4 linked regions of the Arabidopsis thaliana genome follow. The protein of the gene in region 1 interacts with the protein of each later gene in a pairwise test. Each region holds a gene or a part of one and is shown in the gene's direction. Other genes may lie near its edges.

The links.
Region 2: the proteins of KRP2 (region 1) and CDKE;1 interact in a protein complementation assay, tested with the Arabidopsis thaliana proteins (one large-scale study listed by BioGRID).
Region 3: the proteins of KRP2 (region 1) and CDKB1;2 interact in a protein complementation assay, tested with the Arabidopsis thaliana proteins (one large-scale study listed by BioGRID).
Region 4: the proteins of KRP2 (region 1) and CYCH;1 interact in a protein complementation assay, tested with the Arabidopsis thaliana proteins (one large-scale study listed by BioGRID).

The regions. Positions count from the first base shown.
Region 1 is NC_003074.8:18,798,571-18,802,241, forward strand, and holds KRP2 (KIP-related protein 2), read left to right. Parts: upstream 1-1,735; 5' UTR 1,736-1,937; coding exon 1,938-2,264; intron 2,265-2,340; coding exon 2,341-2,402; intron 2,403-2,486; coding exon 2,487-2,654; coding exon of another isoform or gene 2,655-2,658; exon of another isoform or gene 2,659-2,723; coding exon 2,724-2,796; 3' UTR 2,797-3,025; downstream 3,026-3,671. UniProt on the Arabidopsis thaliana protein: Binds and inhibits CYCD2-1/CDKA-1 complex kinase activity. Regulates cell division which is crucial for plant growth, development and morphogenesis. May regulate early lateral root initiation by blocking the G1/S phase transition.
Region 2 is NC_003076.8:25,462,494-25,467,809, reverse strand, and holds CDKE;1 (cyclin-dependent kinase E;1), read left to right. Parts: upstream 1-1,887; 5' UTR 1,888-2,087; intron 2,088-2,647; 5' UTR 2,648-2,752; coding exon 2,753-4,165; 3' UTR 4,166-4,448; downstream 4,449-5,316. Other genes in the region: AT5G63620 (GroES-like zinc-binding alcohol dehydrogenase family protein), read left to right, coding at 81-150, 235-328, 416-629, 723-864, 946-1,123, 1,246-1,430. UniProt on the Arabidopsis thaliana protein: Involved in cell differentiation. Required for the specification of stamen and carpel identities and for the proper termination of stem cells in the floral meristem.
Region 3 is NC_003071.7:16,150,620-16,154,645, forward strand, and holds CDKB1;2 (cyclin-dependent kinase B1;2), read left to right. Parts: upstream 1-1,853; 5' UTR 1,854-1,931; coding exon 1,932-2,565; intron 2,566-2,647; coding exon 2,648-2,717; coding exon of another isoform or gene 2,718-2,787; exon of another isoform or gene 2,788-2,872; coding exon 2,873-3,011; exon of another isoform or gene 3,012-3,154; coding exon 3,155-3,247; 3' UTR 3,248-3,467; downstream 3,468-4,026. Other genes in the region: AT2G38630 (Transducin/WD40 repeat-like superfamily protein), read right to left, coding at 3,664-3,899, 3,998-4,026. UniProt on the Arabidopsis thaliana protein: Together with CDKB1-1, promotes both the last division in the stomatal cell lineage as well as the number of stomata.
Region 4 is NC_003076.8:9,769,384-9,775,702, forward strand, and holds CYCH;1 (cyclin H;1), read left to right. Parts: upstream 1-1,919; 5' UTR 1,920-2,378; coding exon 2,379-2,438; intron 2,439-2,654; coding exon 2,655-2,705; intron 2,706-2,781; coding exon 2,782-2,860; intron 2,861-2,956; coding exon 2,957-3,069; intron 3,070-3,176; coding exon 3,177-3,250; intron 3,251-3,432; coding exon 3,433-3,553; intron 3,554-3,661; coding exon 3,662-3,730; intron 3,731-3,999; coding exon 4,000-4,041; intron 4,042-4,224; coding exon 4,225-4,302; intron 4,303-4,653; coding exon 4,654-4,712; intron 4,713-4,850; coding exon 4,851-4,935; coding exon of another isoform or gene 4,936-5,001; exon of another isoform or gene 5,002-5,020; coding exon 5,021-5,296; coding exon of another isoform or gene 5,297-5,301; 3' UTR 5,302-5,492; downstream 5,493-6,319. Other genes in the region: ALY1 (protein ALWAYS EARLY 1), read left to right, coding at 1-41, 156-323. UniProt on the Arabidopsis thaliana protein: Associates with CDK-2 and CDK-3 and activates the CDK kinases.

The DNA.
Region 1 (3,671 bases):
AATCGAAAATTATCCTTCAAAACGAATATCAATATGTATTCATTGAGAGATTTTAAAACTTAGGGATTCATTTGTTGGTACTAGCGTTTAAGTTTTCATAATTAAGAACTACGGATGTATACATAGATATATGATAATTTTATTTTCGTAGTAATTGTTATGATAATCTTTGTTCTTTTGAAGTCAACAACATATATTATGCGAATTTTTAAACTACATTATATGTTTAGCTCACTATTTTATTTTGAATATCTCATAAGTATGTATATATACTTACACATTGTTATAGTGAGTGTAAAAAAGAGAGAGACAGTTTAGTAATGATTGAGTATGCAGCTCGTGGGCACATTATTAAATTGAATGGTATGATGGATATGCGCAGACACTGTCTTGTGTGAACTCAAGAATCGATACAGAACGACGGCATTAAAAAAAAAGAAAAAATTCAATATAAGACGAAAATGATGATGGAAAAAAATTCTTTTATTTTTACCAACGAAATGTATGCGATATGAACTAGTAGTATTTAATTCACTGTGTGAATTAGTAGTAATATTTAAGCATGTGAATATGTTTGTGTACGTATTGTATTGCCACAACAAAACAGCATGTCGCAGCATTGATTTCATTATCACCTAACCGTTAAATACGTCATGGCCCTAGACTTAATGTATTTTAGACTTAATGTATTTTATACCTTATTTTGATATGTGTACGGTCGACCCCCTCACAAAATTGAAATATTACGACTATGCATTGAAAAACTATACACAACTACATTGTCAAATACTGATAAGATCTTAACACAGAAACACATATTATCACTAATAATGTAACGTGACAACATTACATTGCTTTACACACATTTTTTTTAATCTATTTAAGATGATTGGATGATATTGTCATTTTTCTCTATAAATCTAAGATTTTTATTGTCTTTATAATCTAAATTCGCAATTATTACAACAAAAAATTATCAAATCTAAATTTATTTTTAAAATCCACGATAATTATTCTCATTCTATTTCATTGGAAACACCAACCAATTATTTTAAAAAACAGAAAACATATTAATTAAAAAATTGAATTCAAATTCTATTTACCATTCTAAAAAAAAAATTATGCACTGATTCTGTAAACGTTGACACCGTTAACGTAGTCGTAGATATGCACTGATTCTGTAAACGTTGACACCGTTAATGTAATCACATCGAATAAAAGACATATGTTGATCGTGTAAAGGTATAAGATACTCGATCTATAACATCGTTGTCAAATTCCATGTTGCATATACATTATATTGCTTTACACACATTTTTTTATCTATTTGATCGTCTGTGAATTAATATGATAATTTGATGGTATTATTGTTATCTTTATAATATAAATTCGTAATTATTATAACAAAAAATAAACAGTTTTATCTTAATATCCACAATAATTATTTTCATTCTCGTTGATTTATTGGAAAAGCCAGCCAATTATATTAAAATAAATAAAAACAACATATTAATTCAAAAAAATTTGAATTCAAAAAAATTTATCATTCTAAAGTAACTAGATATGCACTAATTGCACTGATTTTGTAAACTTTGAAACTATTAATGTAATCGTAACGAATAAAAGACACGTATCAATCGTGTAAGGTATAAAATACTCGATTTTTAACGGCGCCGTCAAATTCTCCGTTACATATTAAAAGAATTACTATTCCTACTTCACACGAGGCTTTATATGAAAATGACAAGAGTTAATCGTGGCCGTTAACAAATTACGATCAAAACGAAGATCGTCACCATCTTATAACAGAATAACCCAAATGGTACGCGAGCTAGAGACTCTCTAGTAGAGAGAAAGAGAGAGAAACACAAACACGCACACATAACGAGTGATTTTAGAGAGAGATAGAGATCTGGAAGGTGACGTCGTAGGAGATTATGGCGGCGGTTAGGAGAAGAGAACGAGATGTGGTTGAAGAGAATGGAGTTACGACGACGACGGTGAAACGAAGGAAGATGGAGGAGGAAGTGGATTTAGTGGAATCTAGGATAATTCTGTCTCCGTGTGTACAGGCGACGAATCGCGGTGGAATTGTGGCGAGAAATTCAGCAGGAGCGTCGGAGACGAGTGTTGTTATAGTACGACGGCGAGATTCTCCTCCGGTTGAAGAACAGTGTCAAATCGAAGAAGAAGATTCGTCGGTTTCGTGTTGTTCTACATCGGAAGAGAAATCGAAACGGAGAATCGAATTTGTAGATCTTGAGGTGACAACGAAAGCATTATTTATCGAAACTGAATTTTGATTTACAGATTTTGAAATTTTTGAATTCGTTTTTCCAGGAAAATAACGGTGACGATCGTGAAACAGAAACGTCGTGGATTTACGATGATTTGAATAAGAGGTTTGTTTAATTTGTTACAGATATTAAAATTTTGAATCAGTAACAAACATTTCTATAAAATGTCTTTGATTTTTTTGTGTATAGTGAGGAATCGATGAACATGGATTCTTCTTCGGTGGCTGTTGAAGATGTAGAGTCTCGCCGCAGGTTAAGGAAGAGTCTCCATGAGACGGTGAAGGAAGCTGAGTTAGAAGACTTTTTTCAGGTGGCGGAGAAAGATCTTCGGAATAAGTTGTTGGAATGTTCTATGAAGTAAGTTTTTTTTTTTTGATTCAAATCTTTTAATCGAATTTTTGAAACTGATAATGAATTTGTTGTTAGGTATAACTTCGATTTCGAGAAAGATGAGCCACTTGGTGGAGGAAGATACGAGTGGGTTAAATTGAATCCATGAAGAAGACGATGATGATAATGATGATCATTGTTTTCACCAAAGTACTTATTATTTCTCTTCTGTAATAATCTTTGCTTTGATTTTTCTTTTAACAAAATCCAAATGTAGATATCTTTCTCTCGAATAATCAATAACATGTAATTCAACTTTTGTTTGTACTTCCTTGAGGTAATTAATTAGATTCGTGTTTTTCTCGATTAATAAACTATAAGTTTATAACTCTAAGAGTAATTATAATTGTTACTGAAAACTAAATAGCTTCTATTATTTCTATGTATCAATTATCATACAGTATTTGATTTTTTTTTTTTAACAATGAAAAGAGAGTGTAGAGCAGAACAAAAAAGGGTCACGGCTGACGTGGTAAAGGAATATAACTGTTTATTGATCAGGCTTTTTCAGTAAAAAAGTTACTATTTTATTCTCACTTGGATTGGATTGTAGGTGCTACTCTAGTGATTAACTACGAACTTGTTTGTGCTTTACAAGTTATTAAACTAAAATATTGTACTATCTCCTTGCATTTTACAAATTTAGCTATTTGAAATTATATATTTTTTAAAAATAAAATAGCTTAAATATACACTTCCAGTTTTTCCCTCTCAATTTCTTTCAACAAAGTAACTATTTTGAGTTGTATTATTTTATTTTCCTAATTTATCTATCTAATATAACATGGATATTAGATATGGTTGGTGTACCTAACGCCTATAATTTATACTCGATTAGCAACAACCAAAAAAAAGAAGAAGAAGAAGAAGAAGTTGAGTCATTTAAATCTCTGTAAGAGAAATGATTTACGGTCTTTAAAAACTAGTCCTGGACCAAAAAATGGACCTAAAGATCAGAACTTATTTGTTTAGAAAAATGAAGTT
Region 2 (5,316 bases), on another chromosome or scaffold:
GTTTGTCAACTTTACTTCACCTCCACACTAATGGAATCATATGTTTTGAAGAAATCCTAAATGTCTCAACTTTTCTTCAGATTTCCAATCGGGTCTCGTGTAGTTGGAGCTTTCATTATGCCTTGTGGAACCTGTTCTTATTGTGCTAAGGTGAGAACGAAATTGTATTGCTTTCATCGGATTCTCTAATCTGAGAACTGTAGCTTTTTAGCTGATATTTTAATTTGGATACAGGGCCATGATGATCTATGTGAAGACTTCTTTGCTTACAACAGAGCCAAGGGAACTCTTTACGATGGCGAAACTCGTCTCTTTTTGCGACATGATGGTAAATTTGAAGACTTTTTAAACATCAGGTGGCATATTAGGAGAACTGTGATTGTTTTACCTAATTACATTTCTTAATTTCTGGCAGATTCACCAGTGTATATGTATAGTATGGGAGGGATGGCTGAGTACTGTGTTACACCAGCTCATGGTTTAGCTCCTCTACCAGAGTCTTTGCCCTACTCTGAATCTGCCATTCTGGGATGTGCTGTTTTTACAGCATATGGTGCTATGGCTCATGCTGCTGAGATCCGTCCTGGAGATTCTATTGCAGTTATTGGAATTGGTGGTGTGGGCTCCAGGTATGTTAAATGTGTGGCATTTTCTTTTCTTTACCGGATTTGGGTTTTATTGCTTCTTGTATGACCATAACCATCTTTGAGTTGTTGCTTCAGTTGTTTGCAGATCGCAAGGGCTTTTGGAGCCTCGGATATCATTGCTGTGGATGTTCAGGATGATAAATTACAGAAGGCCAAGACACTTGGTGCTACTCATATTGTCAATGCTGCTAAAGAAGATGCTGTTGAAAGGATAAGAGTATGGTTGATTCAAGACCTCTTATTTGTGAAGATGAACCATTGATTGATATAAATATGAAAAACTGTTTCTTCTTCGTAGGAAATAACCGGTGGGATGGGTGTTGATGTTGCTGTTGAAGCCTTGGGAAAGCCTCAAACTTTCATGCAGTGCACACTAAGTGTGAAAGATGGTGGAAAAGCTGTGATGATTGGACTCTCACAAGCTGGTTCCGTTGGAGAAATTGACATAAATCGACTTGTTCGTAGAAAGGTTTGGGGTTCTTACTCTCTCTCTCTCGGCCTTGTTAGAAGAAAGTCTCTGGTACTGAGATTGTCTTTTAAGATCATGATATTGAATCTCTTTTTGTTCTGTTTTTCCAATTTTTTGTGAAGATAAAAGTTATAGGATCTTATGGAGGAAGAGCAAGACAGGATCTTCCTAAAGTAGTGAAATTGGCAGAGTCAGGGATTTTCAATCTCACAAACGCAGTCTCAAGTAAATACAAGTTTGAAGATGCAGGAAAAGCATTTCAAGATCTCAACGAAGGCAAAATCGTGAGCCGAGGTGTTGTTGAGATACTATAACCAATATAGCCTTTTGATTCTGGTTTGTGAATGACTGCTTCACACCTGTTTCACTGAGGTCTATTTTTAGTTGCTACAATCTTCAGACAAGGTCATTGTTAATCTGATATTTGTGTTTGTTTAGACAGTGAAAAGGAAAAAAAAAAACTGTAGTAACTGGACAAAATTTATAATTTTACTGTTTTTCATTTCTTTCCAACATTTATTGTTTTTCTATACTGTTAATATTTTTAATTTCTTCCCTCTTTTCACAATTTTCTACTTTCTAAGAATATTAATAACTGACATATATATAAAAAAACACAATTTATTTCTCTTTTGATAAAATTATCTATAAATCATTAAATCTTTGATGAGAAATATCCAATCTACTAATGTATATCGATGATTTAAATGAAATTACTTATTTGAACACAAAAATAAATGAATTTACTAATAAATAAATAGCGTAGTTGGAGCAAGTGGCTAAAAAAATTACAAATCTAGTTTCCATTCTCAGCGTCGGCTGCTTGGAACGTCACCGTTTTCTGGAAAACGCAATCTTCTCCCTTCCGTGACGTCTCACCGGAATTTTCTCGCTTTTGTCTACTCTCCTCCATCTCCGAGGTTCTCCAAGCTCAGCTCCTCTTCCCATCATTCATCCGACCGCCTTATCCGGTCAGATCCTTTACGTATTTCTATTTTCCTGATCGTCGATTTTTGAGAAATGTAAAAACAGATCGTATAAGGCCTCGAAGTTTTTAATTTGAAAGTGGTATCGAAATTTTTTGGTCTTTGATTAGGTTAGGGCACCGTAGCTCTGGGTATTGAATTTGTAGGGTTTTCCTCTGGTTATTGGTCTTTGGAGCTTGGTAATTTCTGCTGAATTGATTGATCCCTTTTCCATCTTTTGAAGTAAAGTCTCGAGCTTTCGTGTCTCGATGTAGATGAATTCTATTTTGAATATGAGATTTGATAAGACGTCAATTGCTGATAATTTGGAGTCTTTGTGTCTGAATTTGTTCATATGAAGTTTTCTGAGGGATGTGAATTTTATTGTCTGCTAATTTTGAAACGTTCCTTTTGGAATTTGGTTTGTGAGGAGTCCTAGATCTTTTTCTGTGAAGTTTCTTGCTTGTAAGTTTTCTGGATCACTTGATTGAGTCTAGAATCTAGATAGATTACATGTACGGTTTGATTCCTTTGGCTGATTTTCCAAAGTTTTGTTCAAATTTCAGGAGAACTACAAAGAGGAAACCAAGATTGTTTTGTTTTGTTAGACTCTACCCCTTTTCCGATTCACATGGTAAGGACATTGAGGTAGAGAATAATACTAAAAAGCAATGGGAGATGGGAGTTCCAGTAGATCCAACAGCTCAAACAGCACTAGTGAGAAACCAGAGTGGCTGCAACAGTACAATCTCGTTGGTAAGATTGGTGAAGGCACTTATGGTCTTGTTTTCTTGGCTAGAACCAAGACTCCGCCTAAAAGACCTATTGCTATCAAGAAGTTTAAGCAGTCCAAAGATGGAGATGGAGTTTCCCCGACTGCTATCCGCGAGATCATGTTGCTTAGAGAGATTTCCCATGAGAACGTCGTGAAGCTTGTGAATGTCCACATCAATTTTGCAGACATGTCTCTGTATCTTGCCTTTGATTATGCCGAGTACGATCTCTATGAAATCATCAGGCACCACAGAGACAAAGTCGGCCATTCGTTAAACACATACACAGTTAAGTCTTTGCTCTGGCAGCTTCTCAACGGATTGAACTATCTTCACAGTAATTGGATTATACACAGAGATTTGAAACCGTCGAATATCTTGGTTATGGGTGATGCAGAAGAGCACGGAATAGTGAAAATAGCTGATTTCGGGCTCGCAAGGATATATCAAGCTCCGTTGAAACCACTATCGGATAACGGAGTTGTGGTCACAATCTGGTACCGAGCACCAGAGCTGCTTCTTGGTTCGAAGCACTACACGAGCGCTGTTGATATGTGGGCAGTTGGGTGTATATTCGCGGAGTTACTAACTCTTAAACCGTTGTTTCAAGGAGCAGAAGCGAAATCGTCTCAAAACCCTTTCCAGTTAGATCAACTTGACAAGATATTCAAGATCTTAGGCCACCCGACGATGGATAAATGGCCAACACTAGTTAACCTTCCACACTGGCAAAATGATGTTCAACACATTCAAGCTCACAAATACGACAGTGTGGGTCTCCACAACGTGGTTCACCTGAATCAGAAAAGTCCTGCGTATGATCTGTTATCCAAAATGCTGGAATATGATCCTCTAAAGCGGATCACGGCTTCACAAGCACTAGAACACGAGTATTTCCGAATGGATCCTCTCCCAGGACGGAACGCATTTGTAGCCAGCCAACCGATGGAGAAGAATGTGAATTACCCAACTCGTCCAGTAGATACAAACACCGATTTCGAAGGCACGACAAGCATCAATCCGCCTCAAGCAGTAGCAGCAGGAAACGTAGCAGGGAACATGGCAGGAGCTCATGGAATGGGCAGTAGATCGATGCCAAGACCAATGGTTGCACATAACATGCAGAGGATGCAGCAATCTCAAGGCATGATGGCTTATAATTTCCCGGCACAGGCAGGGCTTAACCCGAGTGTTCCGCTGCAGCAGCAGCGCGGGATGGCTCAACCGCACCAGCAGCAACAGCTAAGAAGGAAAGATCCCGGAATGGGTATGTCAGGTTACGCACCTCCTAACAAATCCAGACGCCTCTAAAGGTAAAATCGAGATCATCAGTCTCGGGTTAGAATCTGTGTGTTTGCCGCAGAAGAAAGCGTTGCGATTTGCTTTATAGAGTAGAGTTAGATTGTAATGCAGCATGTGGAATGTTGCTATTCATATGGATGGATTGGATTCTCTGTAGTTTTTGTATAAACATCCTCTCAAGTATTTGTTAATTATATTAGATCATCATTTCTCTTAACATCATTTCTCAAAACGTAGTAAATAGGAGATTTGCCAAGTGAAAAATATATATAATGAGACAGTTATTATGAACACAATTTACAGTTATTATGAACACAATTTTGGTGATGTTTCTACTGTTTATGAAATTTGTTTTTTTTTTACCTGCCAGTCTTATCTATTTACCACCAACATACATTAGAATCTAATGTAATTACATCATCAATCATAGACCTAATGAATATTTAATACCACACAGTTTAAACATTGCTATTAAAGTTTGAAAAGATTATACTTTAGTAAAATAATGTTTTCAAACTTGTATTCAATTATACTACGTAAGCAGTGATCCAATTATTACGAACATAATACTTTTCCAAATCAAAATTTTGTTTTTGTTCACCTTACCATCAGTTTCATAATAGAAATATTATATATATACAACACAAACAAATGAATGAGAAATGTTTTTCTATTATTATGACTTTTATTTAAGATTCAAAAGAACGAAGAAGAGTTATATATATGCTTGTTTGTTTCAGGACAAATACAATAAATAAGTGGATAAGAAAACCACAAACCTTGAACTAGCCTGAAATGTGTGAACCAAGCTATACAAACTGTACGTGATTCTGCATCGTGGAAGTCACAAACAGACTTCTGACTTCTGCTAAAGATAAAACTCACTGTTTGCAAGCAATTTAGTATAAATATGAAGCATTGACCTACCAAGATCGACACAATCACACAGTTTCTTCTTAATTAAACCTAGCTATTTTTGTCTTTAGCAGAAGTCAGAAAGCTAGTTTTGTATTTTTCTTATTTCTTAAATATATGGCGGCCAATGTTATGAGACGGTTTATGATTTAAAGATACACAATGGACCCACGACGTTGCCATAATACAATTATTAGGCTGTTAATTAACGTGATCGTTACGTTTGCTACAAACTAGCTAGTTGT
Region 3 (4,026 bases), on another chromosome or scaffold:
CTAAATAATTTTGAATTGCTTAATTAGTTTGGATTTTAAAAGCTGAAAGAAAGACACAATAACTTAAAATAATCCAAAGAGTCATGCTTAAATAAATCCAACCAACATAACTATCGAAGCTGTTGCAACACAACAATATTTGTCACAAAAAAAAAACAATCGTTTCAGATGGACAAGATATTCTAAAGTAAAGACTTGTCAAGCATTAACTTTGAAGAGAAGATTGTATTGGCTGAGTGATAGGGTTCTCTTCATCCATTGTTTTCTGTTTTTTCCTTGGTCGTCCTTGAGGTTTCTTGGGTGGTTTTGGCATTGCTTTACACTTGCATGAACGTTTGTTGTGTCCGACTTGTTGACAATTGCTGCAAGTCTAAATATGCAAAGATTAAATTTAATAATTTGAAAATGAAGATCTTGTGAAACATAATTCATTGTTCTCTATTTTACCATTTAAACTTTTTCACGTGTATAAAGAACTTTTTGAGGTGGACGATCTTCAGTTGGATCACGGATTCTGTCATTGTTCTTTGGTCGATTTTTGGAAATTAATATCCCATTAATATTTAATTACTATGGGGTTAAGTTTATTAACAGGTTTTAGTTCAGAGTTTGTTTTACTAAAAACATAGTTCAGAATTTAAAAATAGATCTGACCAAAGCTGACGGTTTTTTTCATTAAATTCCCTTAATAAAATGGTTGCAAATAAGTTTATTGACCCTAGTAAATCAGTAACGGTTTTTCATAATCAACTTTAAAGTCTTTAAGCCATTTTCTTTCGTTTAGTCAATGCCCTATCATTGAATATTATCTTTGTTTTCTTTTTCATTATTGTAATTTTCTTTTATGTATAGTAGTCCAATAATTTTTTAATATTCAGCCATTGTTTAGTTTCCACATGAAACACACAATTTGTTTATAATCTTGTTTTTCTTTCCCCTTTACATAGAACTTCTTATGATGATTTTTATGAGTTTGTGAAATTGCATACCTTGCACATTCGTAGACCTAGTCAGAATTTTTGTTGTTGTTGTAGTATCTTTATTGTAAAAAGAAATGGTTTTCTTAATGTAACTATCGATCAAAACTGATGCAATTACCATACATGAAATTGGAATGAGTGTAAGAAGAATATAAAGTTGAAATAAATCAAAAATGTGAAACTGAATCAATATCATATGAAGTTGAATCATGTATACTAGAAGCCTAGAACACAAGAAACAACCCACCATTAATGAATAATGAGTAAGAGTTCACAGTCCCAAAATAATTGAAGTTACAAATTCGAACACAAAAAATCAAACCTAAACATTTTTCCAATTGGTTGAGTAAGTGAAAAAAAACTACGTAGTAAGAAATTCTTTTTTTGAGTTTGTGCCAAACATTGAACATTAACGTATAAGGAGAAAACTAATGGGATACAAGCTAAAACAGTTATAGTCTTATTAATTAGTATGTTAAATACTAGATTAAAGTTAAAATGAAGTTGGAAAAGCTCGAAGTTTCAACCAATTAATGCGAAATGATCGACTCTTCAAGTAATATTAATAGTTTAGCAAAATAAATGACTGAAAAATCTTTATTATGGGTTGTGGCTGCAAGCATGAGCTTAGCTTTTTGTACTCAGGGCCGGCTTTACATCAAAGATCATGCATAGATTCATTCAACTAAACATTCACCATGGATAATGAATTGAAATCTATAAACATAATCAAGCAAATATCTTATACTATACTTATCTGTTTAAAATGACTTTGAGTCTTTGACTAATAAAATATTATTGGTACGTGTGAAGCGTGCGAGGGATTCAAATGTTAAACGTTATAGCAAAGAGGCGCCTTTATTTACCAGATCTAAAATCGAAAAGGGGCTTTAGGGTTTATAAGACCCAAACAAAAAACATTCATCAGTCTCAATTCAAAATCCTCCATCAATGGAGAAATACGAGAAGCTCGAAAAGGTCGGTGAAGGAACCTATGGAAAAGTCTACAAAGCAATGGAGAAAACCACCGGAAAACTCGTCGCTCTGAAGAAAACTAGGCTCGAAATGGACGAAGAAGGTATACCACCAACGGCTCTCCGTGAGATCTCTCTTCTCCAAATGCTTTCTCAATCAATCTACATCGTTCGTCTCCTCTGCGTCGAACATGTTATTCAATCGAAAGATTCGACTGTTTCTCACTCTCCCAAATCCAATCTCTATCTCGTTTTTGAGTATCTCGACACTGATCTCAAGAAATTTATAGATTCTCATAGAAAGGGCTCGAATCCTAGACCGCTTGAGGCTTCTCTTGTGCAGAGGTTTATGTTTCAGCTTTTTAAAGGTGTGGCTCATTGTCATAGCCATGGTGTGCTTCACCGTGATCTTAAACCGCAGAATCTTCTATTGGATAAGGATAAAGGGATTCTTAAGATTGCTGATTTGGGTCTTAGTCGTGCTTTTACTGTGCCTCTTAAGGCTTATACACATGAGATTGTTACTCTTTGGTATAGAGCTCCTGAAGTTTTGCTTGGTTCTACTCATTACTCTACTGCTGTTGATATTTGGTCTGTTGGATGCATCTTTGGTTAGTAATCAGCTACTATGTCTCTTTTAATGGTCTTTTGTTCTACTGTTTGGATTACTGATGTTTCCCCATTTTTTTGTAGCCGAGATGATTAGGAGGCAAGCTCTTTTCCCTGGTGATTCTGAGTTTCAGCAACTACTTCATATTTTCAGGTATTTGCTTCTTGTTTTTGATGCCAATGTGTATGTATACAGGAACCAGTTTAGGACTTTAGCCCATTAGGTTCAGTACTCGTGAACTCATTTGGATTATGGGGACTGTCTAGTATCAATATATCTGAAGTATGGTTTTGTTTTGGGTTCTGGAGATTGTTAGGAACACCAACTGAGCAGCAATGGCCGGGTGTAATGGCATTGCGTGACTGGCATGTCTATCCAAAGTGGGAGCCGCAAGACTTATCACGTGCTGTTCCATCTCTATCTCCTGAAGGAATTGATCTTCTCACGGTAATGCTCTTTTCTAAAATATGACCATTGTTGGAGAAGTGGCCTAAGATTCTCTTGCATACTTGATCTCTTTAGTAGATTCTTTCTGTTGGGGTTCGTTCCTAGTTGATGATAATTTGTTTTGAACCTTTGAACAATTGCAGCAAATGTTGAAGTACAATCCAGCAGAAAGAATTTCAGCAAAAGCAGCTCTCGATCATCCCTACTTTGACAGCCTTGACAAATCTCAGTTCTGACCTCTGCCAAATTACTGATCAGGCTTCTCTTTGGAGTTCTGAAGCTGATGGCTCAAGTTTATTGTCTTGGTGTCTTATGCTGTGTGCTTTAGAAAGATTTGTACTTAAACTAAACAATCTGAAAACCTTGTTTGTTCAGCGAGAGTGAGAGAATCTTCTTTAAGTGGCCAATTTTATTTGTTCATGTAAACAAGTCTATCAAAGCAAAAATGGTTAACCCTATTAAGCAGACAAATCATTAGTGTACATAAATGAGAGACGAATTTGAAATATTTGCTGTTTCATTACAACGACAATTGCTACTCAAACACACAAGTAAATTACATATCTCATGATATTACACAATTGAGAAACAGAACAAGATACAGAGATCTCTTGTATTAATGTAAAAAAAACAAAACAAATGATGAGTAGCTTCAATTAGACCAGACATGGAGGAGGCCGTGTCTGTTTCCTGTGTATATTTCATTCCGTTCTTCGTCGTAGAAGAGAGCGGTTATGTCTTCCAAAGCCTCAGCAACCGCACTTCTCCTTCGAGAGGAATTCCCCAAATCACTACTGCTGCAGTCCTCTTCCTTAGGAGGACCATTATTTGCTTTTATCTTAGCTAAGCATTTACCAGTCAAGATATTGCTTATGTTAATCGACCCCGCTACATCAACAACCAAAATCACGACAATGTCTCAATAGCAAAACAAAATCAGACCATGAGGTTTCTTGATTTGAAGAGTGGATGATGAGTCTACTTACCATTTCCTTCTATCCACTGATCTTCAGTA
Region 4 (6,319 bases), on another chromosome or scaffold:
AGCTTATCACCTCTTGTGTTGCATCTTGGCTCATGATGCAGGTAAAGGAAATAATTTTGTCTTGGACTAACGAAAGTGTAATCTAAATCAAGAATACCAAAGTTTTCACTTGATGCGGTTTTGATTAGAACTCTTTGTGTGTTATTTACCTGCAGATGATCTCAAAGAAGCAGTACCCACCAGCAGATGTGGCTCAGCTAATGGATACAGTAGTGAATGACTTGCAGCCACGGTGTCCACAGAATATGCCGATATACAGAGAAATTCAAACTTGTATGGGATTGATCAAGACTCAAATAATGGCTCTTGTAAGAACGTCATGAAACATTTGTGTCCTTTGTAATTAACCTGACATCGAAGATAACACTTGGAGATCAGATTTAATTGTTTGGATTGTAGAGGTTAGTTTAGTTTATAGTTAGTTAATAATTTGAACAGCTCCAAAGGCTGTTGATAATTAGTTACCATTGATTCTGTAACTTTTTTTTGTCATCATTCATTGTAACTTTGGTTACCTTTTACTTTGGAGCTGTTTTTTTTTTCTTTCTTTCTCAGTGATTATTTTCTTGGGTCATTTTGGATCCTAATGGCTGAAATAATTTATTCCCACCTTAATACAAAATCTCAAATATATACTATTCCTTAACTAAAATTCTAGAACAATGCCAAATGGATATGTTTGAAATACCTTTAATAACAACTAGGATTTAACCTGTGGTGTACCACGGACAAATGTTTTATTCATATATAATAATATTAAATTTTACGGTTTTTAATTTAGTATTTAAGTTTTATAATTTTATATTAATGTTATAACTAAAACAAATGGTGATGATAAAATAATAAAATAAATATTTAACATGTGCTATATCAATCCAAACTCGTCCCACTATATTTCATATCAATCCAAACCCGTCCCGCTATATTTCTCATCTCATGATATTTTTTTATAAGTTTAAATAATAATAATGTTTTATAAAGTTAAAATATATCTATAATATTTAAAAATAATAATTATTTTTTACTTAAGTTGGAAAGATTTTTGGAAACGTTTGTTGAGCGCAATATAAAGTATTTAAATTTTCAAATCTGAATAATTAATACCAATTATATATCTTGAAAGATCTTTGGCAACTATTGTTGAATATAATATCTTGTATTTAATTATCGACAGGAAATATTTAATGTCAATGGCATGACATTGTAAATACAAGTACAAAATTTATTTGCTAAAATGGCTGCAAAAATGTATATGTAGATTTACTTCTAATTTTAATGTTTCAAAGGACAAAACTAGGCATGACCATAAAATCCGAAGCCCGAAAAACCTAGTTCGCTTTGGTTCGAGTGGATCTAAAGTGTTTATTTTGGGGTTTTGGTTTGGTTCGTGTAGGATCTGAAACCTGAACAGATACCTGAAATATCGAAACTCAAACGGATACATGTAACTCGAAATAATACGTATACATAATTTGTCGGTAAATTCAGGTTCAATATCAGGTTTCAATTAAATTTGAGAACCAGCCCGAACCCGAATAGACCTCAACCGATATTTTCAGTTCCTAAATGTATTTTCAATCTCTTTACCAAAGTAACCCAAAAACCCAATCTAAACAGACCCGAAAATCCGAATGTCCAGACCTAACTAAAATCGTGAGTCAAACTCAAAAAATGATTGATTAACACTATATTATACTTTTACTTAGATTCTATAAATTGGACACATGTATGGGTGTTATTAAGGGTTGGAAACATAAATTTAAGCCATGACCTTATTTTTGGTTGGAAAATTCTTGTTCTTTTTTTTGTTAGTAAAGGGCTGTTAATAAGGGTTTTAATGGGTTAGCGAACGACACCGTTTATAATAAATATGTTTGCTAAACGACATCGTTTGACCTTAGGGTTTATTGTTTAACATGAAAGAACGTCGTTTCACCAACGTTTCTTCTTCCTCGCAAGTCTCAAAGCCAGGAACGATCTCGCCGTATGAGCAACTTCCGACATTAACACTGTATTGCTCTGCCGTACTCTCCTCTTTTTCCCTTCATACTCGTCTTCACATCTGAATTCCGACAAGATATTGCGTCTGCTCTCCTCTCTTCCCTCATTCTCGTCTTCTCATTACCAAAAACATCTTCTTCTCGTAGCTAACTCAATCCAATTCCAATCTCCATTCAAATCGAGCACCAGATAATTTTTTCTCCTAAATTCTAATATAAGCCCTAAAATTCAAAATTGAAATATCTATAGAATCTCCTTCCGATTCAGACGGATAATCGCCATCAACAGCGTGTGAATTCGATCAAAAATCTGAACTTTCCACAAAGAAATTCGAAAGCTCAGATTTTTCGATTTCGAAAATTTTGAAAACTCAGTTAATGGCGGATTTTCAGACATCAACACAACGGGCCAAGTGGATTTTCACTCCCCAGAAACTGGTAATCCCCTTCTCCTTCTGATCACTACAATGCGGCTTTATAATTATATTTTGTTCATCTTTGGATTTTCTTTGCTTTGATTGCTTCATAGAGAGTCGGATTAATCGAGCATTTGGAACTCTTTGTTACTTAGTTATGTGTGTTGTTGTTGTTATTATCTTACTTGTTGTGTAGAGATATTGGTATTGCAACTAAGCTGTAATGTTGTAATTGTAGGCAGAGAGATATAAAGCTGCTAACCAGAGGGCAGTGCAAATGCTGGAGAAGGTTTGTTAGAATAATTGTTGATATGGAGCTTTAGTCCTGTATTCATGTTTAGATTTTAACTTATTGTTATTCATAGTGTGGAACAACTCAAGTTGAAGTAGATGCTAGTGGATCACTAACATATCCTAAAGATAAAGTTGGTTCAGGAGATCAAGGTAAAAATTTTGGTTCCTTCAATATCTACTTCATACGTATCATAGTTTTGTTTGTCGAAGTTTAAATAATGTTACTTTTTGCTTTGTTACTCTCAGCTGATAAGAAGCTTAAGCCTTTGAGTGCTGATGAAGAAAGGTTCATGAGAGCATTTTATGAGGCAAAGGTCCAAGAAGTGTGCAGTGCCTTTGCATTTCCTCACAAGATTCAGGTGCATTTCTACTCGTCGAGATAGAAGTTTATGATGAAGTTAAAAATAAAATACCTGATTTTTGTTTGCTCTCTGAATTTATGTTTCTTCCTTCTAATATTTTGCAGGCAACAGCCCTCCAATACTTTAAGAGATTTTATCTGCAATGGTCTGTTATGCAACATCATCCAAAAGAGATAATGTATAGTTCTTTTAAATCCTCAAAATGGTCAAAAGCTTTGCTTTTTTCAAGAGAATAGTTTTGAAATTGTTTACCAAATGGAGCTAAGCATTTTGTATTTCTGAGCTCTGAGAGGCTTTTTAAGTCAGTCATAAATGGTCCATTGTTGTAATTTGGACTAATTGTTACCTTTCATTGAACAGGTTAACCTGTGTGTATGCAGCTTGTAAAATAGAGGAGAATCATGTATCTGCTGAGGAAATTGGGAAAGGGATTAACCAAGATCACCGAATAATTCTCAAGTACGAGATGGCTGTTCTTCAGGTATGATATGAGTCAATTAATTTGTACCAACTTCCCTATGTTTATTTTTCCCTGGTGTTCTTTTCTCTCTCTATTCTTTTGTTCATATTATATTAACTCTATGTGCAGAGTTTGGAATTTGATCTGATTGTTTATGCACCGTATCGTGCAATCGAAGGTTTTGTCAACAACATGGAGGTAAATCAGTCCTGTCTAAATTTCTTAGTAGGTTTTCTTATTTCAACTGGCTTTTCTCTGTTTACATCTTATAGTGATGAGACTCTTTTTCAGTTTATTGGCAATTGTTTTGTTGCAAACAAAATTCTGAATGTTAACTTAACGCCAAGAACTTGGTGAACCATAATAGGATATACCAAGATTTTCAATACTTTTTTCGGTGTGTTATTTTTCATCCTTGTTGAACTTCACGCTATCTTCAAAAGTAACCTCATCTTTTCATCCTATAGGAATTTCTTCAAGCTAGAGATGATGAAATCCAAAAACTAGAGGTAGATCTATCTTCAGATATTTCCTTTATCTTCACTAGATTTTAAGCATGTGGTAACTGAATGTGGGATCAAAATGTAAATTTTAGTGTAAGTTTGTGATCATAGCTGTAAGTCTATTTACTTAACAGGCTTTATTGAAATATTATTTTCTCATACTGGCATAACTTTTCAAGTATTCTGCAGAGTTTGCTCAAAGGGGCGACAGCAGAAGCCGATAAAGTTATGCTCACAGATGCTCCACTCCTCTTTCCTCCTGGCCAGGTGGGCATGCTAGTTTATTTTGTCTCCCTAGCCTCTTATTATCAGATTAAAGATACTGAATAATATCCATCAAAGAATCTGGTTAAACTCATTGTTTGGGATATTTCAGTAAAGCTTTAAATATGCTACTCAAGACATAAATTTAGGATGAAAGTTGGTGCTTTGTTTTCTCTTTGACTGATATTTAAGTGAAATTAATGAATGTTTATGATATAGTAGTATAGCTTATCGATATATACTCACCTTGTTCCTTCTTTCAGGATTTTTCGTTTTTCTTTAGCGTATATGTAACAAAAGAAGTATCACAAATTGTTGTACTGTCTCTCAACTCTTGAACGTGTGCCCTTGTAGTTGGCATTGGCGTCGTTACGTATTGCAAATGGGGTTCTTGGAGTGATTGACTTTGATAGGTTATTTCTCTTATTCTATATCCATCCCGATTATTTACCCTTTTAATCTTTCCATGATATTAATCTCGTGGTCTTGAATTTCTGTATATGCAAAGCTTTTTACTGGTTGTATTTTCAACTAAACTGCATTTGGTGCAGGTACCTAGAGAACATTGTTTCTCAACCGAACTCTGAGCACACGACTTCAGAGCTTACAAAGTTACTTGATAACATCGAATATTTGGTATTTACTAACTTCCATAATTATCTTAACAATGAAACTTGCATATCTAAAAGGAAGTTTTACTAGATGCTCTCTCTTATCTCAGGTAAAGAACTACAAGTGCCCAAGTGAAAAGGACATGAAGCATATCAACCGGAAGCTAAAATCTTGTCTAGGACATAGTTCTTCACATGACGAGTACACTAACAACCTCTCTTCTACTAATTCTTTTAACCACTATATATATTTCATAAGCTTTGCTTCTGCAATTGACTCCCTTCTCTATTTATCTTCATCAGGAGTAAGAAACGGGAGAAGAGATCAAAACACAAGTCCCATAGGAGCTCCAATGATACACCAAACGGGGCACCGCCACCCATAGGTTGAGTTTCTCGTACTGCCATTAGCAATTCTTCCTTTGCACTTTGGTTTAGTTTTAATCTTATTGAATGAGAAATTCGTCTTTTATAGTTTCTTCCCCGTTGTTGTTCTTACTAGTAAATTTGAGCAGATTATGTATAACAATGATATTGGCCATAAGTTTTGTTTATTCTGAAGATGTTAATGAATTTATAACAAAACTTCCATTTATTTTAAGTTTTGGTGTACATAACAATCGTCAAAAATGGTTTGTTTGCGATAATGATCAACTTTTTACATGATCAAAAGTTTTTCCAGACATTTTGATACTTTCTAGTTACTACCACATCTGTTCTTACACAGAAACAAATGGATATGACTAGTGTAGCGGTAACTATCAAATCCTAATAATAACAATGAAAATTTGTATTAAATAACCAAAAACCATCGAAAATAAAATTTGGATTGTGAATGAAACTTGTAAAGATGCTTGATTGGTTGTGCTAAATGTCTTTTACAGCCATAATATATTTGTTAAAGACTAAATTGTTGCCAATTATGTTATAGTTTTTTTCTTTAACTTAGAGCCCCAAAAAAAATCTTTTTGTTTTGACTGTAAATCTTTAATTTTCTACATCCTATTTTGTGTTGTAGATTTTTTTTTTTTTGTAGATTTTTTTTTTTTTTTCTCTCCTCTAACTTTTTGTCACGATTATTTTCAACTAATAATCTAAAATGTAGTTATATGAATAACAGATAAAGTATTTTATACATTTAGACAAATAATTTATAAATTTATATAGATTCCATTTACCTAGATGTGCAGAATTCTTTTTGTGTTTTTATTATAAAATTGTTATTAAATAATTTATATATATTCCATCTACCTAGATGTGCATAATTCAATTTGTGTTTTTATTTTATAATTGCTATTAAATAATTTTAGTAATTATGATATACAATTTTCTCATTTTGAAAAAAGGTAATTTATAAATATAAAATTCAAATATTTCTTAATCATAATTTTTAGTTACAACTAAAATAT